Cricetulus griseus: one gene and its partner. The protein of the gene in region 1 interacts with the protein of each later gene in a biochemical or structural test. Links are inferred from orthologs where the notes say so. Each region holds a gene or a part of one and is shown on either strand. Other genes may lie near its edges.

Evidence for each region.
Region 2: the proteins of Ston2 (region 1) and Syt1 form a complex in vitro, tested with the Homo sapiens proteins (2 studies listed by BioGRID). The link is inferred for Cricetulus griseus from reciprocal best matches to the Homo sapiens genes STON2 and SYT1.

Annotation. Positions count from the first base shown.
Region 1 is NC_048598.1:113,267,843-113,271,666, reverse strand, and holds part of Ston2 (stonin-2), read right to left. Parts: intron 2,185-3,824; coding exon 1,982-2,184; intron 1-1,981. UniProt on the Homo sapiens protein: Adapter protein involved in endocytic machinery. Involved in the synaptic vesicle recycling. May facilitate clathrin-coated vesicle uncoating.
Region 2 is NW_023276806.1:146,547,657-146,551,580, reverse strand, and holds the start of Syt1 (synaptotagmin-1), read right to left. Parts: upstream 2,373-3,924; coding exon 2,207-2,372; intron 1-2,206. UniProt on the Homo sapiens protein: Calcium sensor that participates in triggering neurotransmitter release at the synapse. May have a regulatory role in the membrane interactions during trafficking of synaptic vesicles at the active zone of the synapse.

The DNA of each region.
Region 1 (3,824 bases):
GGAATTTTGTGGCTGTTCTGGGCTGCTGCCATAATGGAACCACTAGTCCTGAGTATACCATGATCCCCTTTAAGGTGTGGAATTCCCTCTTCTTTGTGGTCCTAGGGAACTCCTTAATTAATTAATTAATTAATTAATTAACTTTAAGCAAACAGCAAGAGGCTTTATTGCAGTTGTTTAACGAACTAACCCCATTAGCTCGGGCCTTTCATCCATCCATTATGGCGGATGGCTGGGAAAAGACCCCGAGAAACCCCGGGACAAAGATCTTATAGGACAGCATAAGGGGAGTGTCTAGACATACGCACAGGCTCAGGATTGGTGTGCCTCCAGGCTTGGAGGACTTGCCCTGTGTTGATTGGTCAACTGGTTGTTATGGCCCATAGTCCCTAGGACCACAACTCCCAGGGAAGTTGCTATGCTCTGCACATCATTGCTTGTGCACTTGTCCCAGGGAACTCTTATTCTTTCAGAATTGCTCAGATATTATCTTTGCTCCTCAGTAGGGAGACTGGGTTTCCTCTGAATAGTTCTGGTGTCCCTGGCTCCACTATTCCATAGGCTCCATGGGATAGCAGCAAGATCTAGTTCATTTTGCCCAATGGTGTAGAAATCCAGTAGGCAACTGCCGAGTTTATGGAATGAATAAAGAAAGCCTTTTGTAATTGACCACTTAAGCTCCTCCAACTACTTCATTTCTTTTAAATCTCTAAGCTAGTAAGTATCAGAGCATTTACTAGTCTAGCCCGTCTTCTGCAAAATACTATTAAGAAGTTGCCCTTTGAAAGTCACAGGCCTTGGGTAGAGAGACAGCTCAGTGGTTAATACTGGATACTCTTCCGGAGGGCCTGGGCTCTCTTCTCAGCACCTACACAGTGGCTGACCAGTGTCTGTGACTCCAGTCCCAGGGCCTCCTCAGGCACTGCAAACATGTGGTACACAGACATGCATGCAGACAAAACACCCCCATACATCAAATAAATGAACAAATAAATAATCAAATCTTTTTAAAGAGTAGCTCGCCGTAAATAAAACCTCTGATAAGTCAGGAAGGGACTGTTTGAACTAAGGAATTCATCATCCCAGTTGGTCCTCAGCCGTGCATTGAAGATTAGGCTTCTCCACATGGGGTGAGGTGGGGAGTGCTAGGTTTTTCCCTGGCCACAAGATGGGGGAATTTGTAACTTTTGGTAGTTAAAAGGTTTTAGATGACACAACTAAGAAAATATTTAAAGGAATAATACGTTACATAAATCTGCAGGAATCATTATACATAGGAAATTATCAAACAACTTTGCAAAATCCTAATGACTCTCTCTCTCCCCTCTTTGGAAGTCGATCTTCTACCGAAGTCTACAAGTGCTAAAAGTCCTTGTTTTTACAGCGATTTACCTATCATCTGAGTGCTCAGAGGCAGGAAAGCAGAACTTGAACCAGACTGAGCTACAGAGGGAGACCCTGTCTGCAACGTCCCCCCTTCCCTTCCCCAAGAAAACCAGCTCTCCAGCATTGATTGAAGACATCTCATCCCATTGTCACTGTGAAAGGGTTTGGCTTTTAAGCCTTACTCTTACTGCCCTGTGCCCGCCTCTGCTGTGTTCTGATGTACGATTCCTGTAGATGAAATACTCACTTCAGCTTATCACATTCCCAATACTCCCCTGCATTTCCAAGTTCACTCCAAAACACGGATTATGCATGCCACATATGAGTAACAATTATTACTTGGCCCCACGGCTCTTTTTGATATTACTCATGATGTTAGACATTATATTCTTCTCTGTCACCAGCCCCTTAATTCTTTCTTTCCAAACCTTTCTCTTATCCAGGAGAGATTATTTCATTAAAGTCAGAGCTGATTCATCCATGGCTATTAATGGAAAGTTCCTTGATATGAGAAGCGTTTGCTAAAGGAAGAAGGGGGAGGGATGGAATGAACAAATGGACTCGGAAACATCAGCCCGGAGCCCCCTGAGGCTACCTTGTAGCTGTAGTGTGCAGAATAATTGACCCACTTCCTCACACCAGGCTTGTCTTCCACGGAGATGGATCTCACAGCTGCTTTGGAGGCAGAAGTCGTGGGCATGCTGAACTCGACGTTTACGTAATTGGCAAATCTGGAAGGCACTTCCCGGTCAGAGCCAAGTTCAAGGTGGCAAAAGAAACAGTGTGGGTGACCAGAAGCTATAACAGAAAGAAAGAATCCAGAGGTCAATGTCTTCGAGGATGAAATTAAAAAGGAAAAGAAGCCAAAGAGCCACTTTGATAATACTGGCGGTCTGCAGGCTGTGCACCTGGCACTTTTGGAGGGTCTGATACTGAGCAAGAGAGCTTCCGTAGGCAGACATCAGGCTCTGTGTGCCTCAGACTCTCGGATCTGATGCCTCTTGATTACTGCAGCCTAGAATACTAGCATAATAGCCACAGTTGGAGACAGGCTAGAAAGACGGCTCGGCGGTTAAGAGGCCCCGGGTTCAATTCTCAGTACCCACACGGCAGTTCAAAACTGTATGTAATTCCAGTTCCAGGGGATATGACACCCTCACCCAGACATCCATGCAGGCAAAACACCAACACACACAAAATAAATAAATAAATATCAAAGTGACTGAACATCATTTGTAAACAAAAACCAAAACCCCACAGTCTGAGAAACTGGGGCCTTTATGCCTGTTTCGGTCAAAGAACAATGATGACACAGCAGGGACACTACACTAAGGAAGAGGCGCTTATGAGTGAAGAGATGAGATTAGCACTTGACACCTAATAAGACATCAGTGACAGCCACCTGGAGCAAACTGCTTTCCTTTACAAGATGAATTTTCTTAATAGCATTTTATATTCTCAGAGATGCCTCAGGCGTGTTTCTGTGGGTGGGTGACATATGAAAGTGACAGACTTAGAGAAGCACGCATGAAATCGGGGAACACAGTGCAACGGACAGACGATCTGATCTGTAGTCACAGTGTAGTCGTAATGCCTCAGTTGACTTGCAGTTCTCCTGGAAGTGGAAAGGCCTTTGTTCTCTTCTGCCCTGAATTCCCCATCTGGAAAGTGGAGTGGTTAGGAGGGGGTATGAACAGGTGGGTCATACAAAAAATACAGACTTAAATAGCAGTGAGGTACTATGGAGGGTAACTCTATCTACGGGTCAACTGATCTTCACAGGTAAAATTAGGATCTGCTTTTCACTTGATGAGTTAGATCTGAGGGGGAAAAGAGACTTTAGTTCTACGACTATGACATTCGAGCATCACCGTCCTTCATCAGACACAGTGAGAGATGACTGGATGTCCTGTGCCGCTGGACGGTCCACACAGACTCTGTTCCCATCAGATATCCTACACCTCAGATATTTACATTACAATTTATAACAGTACAGTTTTGAAGTAGGAATAAAGTAATTTTATGGTTGTTGGGGGTGGGGGGTGCGCCACAACATGAGGAATTGTATTAAATTAAATGGTTGCCTCGGTAGGAAGGTTGAGAACCACTGCCTTAATGTCACTGAGGTTTCTGGAGGCAAAATAAGCTGTCGCAGATCACAGCTAGAAATTGGCAGAACTGTTTATGACTGTGGGATGTCACTCCTTTGTCTGAGTCATAAGTTCATGGTTCCCAGACATGGAGGCCAGATTGTGGGACAAGAGCGTGGGGATGGAGAGCAGCAAGCGGCGACAGATGAACAGCGTGACATGGCTCTGACTGATTGTGCTTCTCCAAGTAAACAACTCCAATTTTCTTTATTGCTCCGGGCAGGATCTTTCAATCTCGGAGAGTCAGGACATACACACCCACTCTCCAAGGAGAATGCTACAGAGTGA
Region 2 (3,924 bases), on another chromosome or scaffold:
TAGAGCAAAAAAAAAAAAAAAAAAAAAAAAAGACCTGAGATCTTGGCTTTCTGACTGAAGGGCTGGAGCTACTGGACCATCTCTCCATGTCCAGCTCTTCCCTTATGGGGCTTCCTGTGGAGAATGGCCATCACCAACAACCCTGCTAGAGCATGCTTCAGAGGAACTTGAATTTGTGAATGGTATGGACAAAGCAACACATTTAAAATCTTTGAGGCATGAGAATATATTACAGATACATTTTTATAAATGTTATCTTCCATCTGGAATATTCCAATAGCTTATCTTCTCTTCTTAAAAGACACATTACTTCATTGGGCGCATCCAAGTTATCCTCAGATCCCTATAAAATATTGTGTCTTCTGCTACACAGATTCACTTCTGCTGGTCTTGTTAGGGAATACTACTGAACCAATTTTAAGGGACCAGCATCACTGGTATGACAGCCAGGGAGCGTATAATAAAAGAAATAAAAAGAAAAACCAAAACCAACCAACTAACCCCCCAGACAAACAATCAAAAAAAAAAAAAAAACACCACCACCACCAACAAAACCCACAAAACAAAACCCAAAACCAAGTCCAAAGCAACCAATCAAACAAAAAACCCACAATAAACCACTATATGCCAATCAATACTCCTGGCCATAGGAACTGTGTTCAGGGCTTCTCCTGAACAACCGAGTTAAGTAGCATGTAAAAAAGACTAATCACCATGATGGTTTGGGATTAATTTCGGGGAGGCAAGGATAGTTCAATCTTTGTAATTGATTAAATATGATTGATCACATTAATAGGATAAAGCATAAAGCTATATGGTCATTTCAAAAGAAAAATAATTAAAAAACAATCAAATATTCTTTCAGGATAAGAAATGGTCAACCAATTAGGTATAGAAGAATTATACTTCAATATGATAATGAGCACACAAGACAGCCTCAGAGTTAATACTTAAAAATATCCCCTTTAAAATGTAGAAAGCCAGGACATCCTTACACTCTCATGTGGCTTAGTATGGCAGGTCTTAACCAGAATAATAGGGCAAGAAAAACAAATGAAAGCCATTCAAAGTGGGCAGGAAGAAAGATTTTCCTTGTATGCACATGACATGATCATATAGGGAGACCTAAAAATGCCATTACAGAACTTTTAGAAGTAATTAATGAACTCAGTAAAGCTAAATGAATACAACATTAATATCCAAAGATCAGCAATATTTATATGAACTATCTCAAAGATAAGCCAAGAAAACCATCTCATTTACAATACTAAGAATATACTCCATAGTAACCTTCATTTTTATTTTAGTTATTATTACTACTGTGCTTGTGAACATATTGTGTGTGTACATGCTCACATGTGCCACAGAGCACATGTGGAGGTCAAAGGACCTGGGGCTAGGATGTTGATGAACAAGTCAGTGAGATGGTCAAAGGATGCATACTTTGATTTGGATGGGAAAGTAAGTTCAAGAGATTTAGTGCACAACATGGGTTGTAGTCATCTTGAGTTAGATTAAGACCAATGAATGTTGGATGTTTTCAGAAAAAATGGTTCCATGTGAGGCAGTGCACATATGCTAGGAAGACTTAGTCAATTCATAGTATTTATTCAAATTACTGTATTATACACAGTAAACATATTTGTAAATATGCAAATAAAATTTTGAAAACTAAATGCTACTGATTAGATTTGTGCAATGTTTACTTTAATTAAAGCTTATCTATAGGCTTTGTGTTCCTCACTCACAAATGAAAAATTAAAAGTAGGCAAAAGTGTTTGGAATATTGACAAATTAATGAAAGAAAAACAAGTTTAAAAATATTAATGAAGCAAAGAAAATCAAACTTGTAATAGTGGAAATGTATCAGCTCTTGTAATCTTTCCTACATAACAATTCCATCGATACAAATCTAAACTCCATATGACACAACATACAGACATTATTATCTCAGAGAGACAGAAAATGAAGGACCTACCTTAAATACAACACACAAAATTTTGTTATAAACCATGCTATTATTTATAAAACACAGTTAAAGAAAAAAAACATATTCCATTTCCAAAATCACTTCATTTCTCATTGGAGTGCTACCGTATGACACCACCATGAAGAACAAACAGCGCATTGAGTCCTGCTGATGTTCCACTGATTCTAATGATTGTTCAATCTTTTCTGTTTATTCAAGTGAAAACAGGATACTCACATGGAATTTTATGCAGCTCATTCATAAACTTCTCCTTCAGCTTTGAAAAGGCATCTTCCTTTCCTTCCCCAGGACTGGCTGGCTCGGTGGCATTATGTGGGATAACAGTTGCAGCAGTGGTGACTGGCGGGGCAGCCAGGCGCTCGTGATGGCTCTCACTCACCATTTTTGCTTCAGGTGAAACTAACGGGGGAAGAAAGAGAAAGCAAACTCAGAAGGGCATGCCTGACCCCATATAACAGGTGTACCCGAGACGAACACACACTACTTGCACCACACCTGCTCACTGGGTAGAAGCCTGTCATTAGCATATTACTTTATGTTGGCTCATGAAATATTTACAGAACCACAGTGAGTGGAGAGCTCCTTCCGGGAAGGCTAAGATCAAATGTAGTTACTGAATAGCATTCTCTCCCAACAAAGTCTATGTAAGCTGTCAAACTGATTAGCTATGTATACAAGCCCCATTTTGCGGTGTAAATCTAACTTTAATGATATCTTCCCAAAGTGTGCAGGGAACAACTGTTGACAACAGCCACGTTCTACACTCTTAGCATCTTGTACTATACTAAAAGAAAAAATACAAATCATGGATAATAGTGCTGGCAATGTTGCTAAGTGATTGCATACATTCAAAATGTTAGTGACTTTTAAAGTAACTATATGTAATAGCATAACACTGAAAGCTTAGGACACCATAAACATTATACAGCAAATGTCTTGAGTCTGATATCAAGGATAAGTCCCCCCCCCATCATTTTTTGACCTTTACTGTAGGTGACACTCTAATCAATAATTTACTTGTTCTGCTAGGTGTATATTTAGATCACTGTAAATGTGGCATAATTGACTCCATATATCAAATACTGATAAAGAAACAGGGTTTGTCTGCTTAATTATTTAAATTCACCTAGCTTCAATATCTTACTGAATTATTTTATCAAATTCACTCAATCATTTTAAATGCTTCTTTAGCTTTGAAGTAGAAAATCTAATTAATTCTAAGGTTGTAAAAGAAAACATTTTGGCTTTGAATTGTGAAGACAGTAACTGTGGTCTTACTCTCCAGCTAGGTGAATTTAAAAAGACATCTGCCCTCTCAATTCTACCCTTACAAAGTGGGAAGAAATAAGCCTTGCTTTCTGTCTTACTCAGGGTGACTATTTCTATGATGAAACCATGACTAGAAGCAATCTAGGGAGGAAAGGGTTTATTTGGCTTACACTTGCACGTCACTGTTCATCATCAAAGGAAGTCAGGACAGGAACTCAAACAGGGCAGGGACCCAGAGGCAGGAAGCATTGAAGAGGCCATAAAGGAGTGCTGCTTACTGTTTTTATCCTCAGGGTTTGCTCAGCCTGCTTTCCTATAGAACCCAGGACTTCCAACCCAGAGGTGTCCCCCAGTCACAAAGAGCTAAACCCTCTCACATCAATCACTAATAGAAATTGTCCCATAGCTGGATCTTATGGAGGCATTTTCTTAATTGAGGTACCCTCCTTTCAGATGACTCTGGCTTGTGTTAAGTTGACATAAAAACTAGCCAGGACACTTGACCCCTTATTAACTTAACACACCAATACAACATTAATTGACAACAACTTTTCCTTTTGCATTTATCCCCCAAATCTTGTAATAATAAATATCACAATATAAAACAATTAAAGCCTTAAAACTCCCACTTATTTTTTGAGACAGGGTTTCTCTGTATTGCTTTA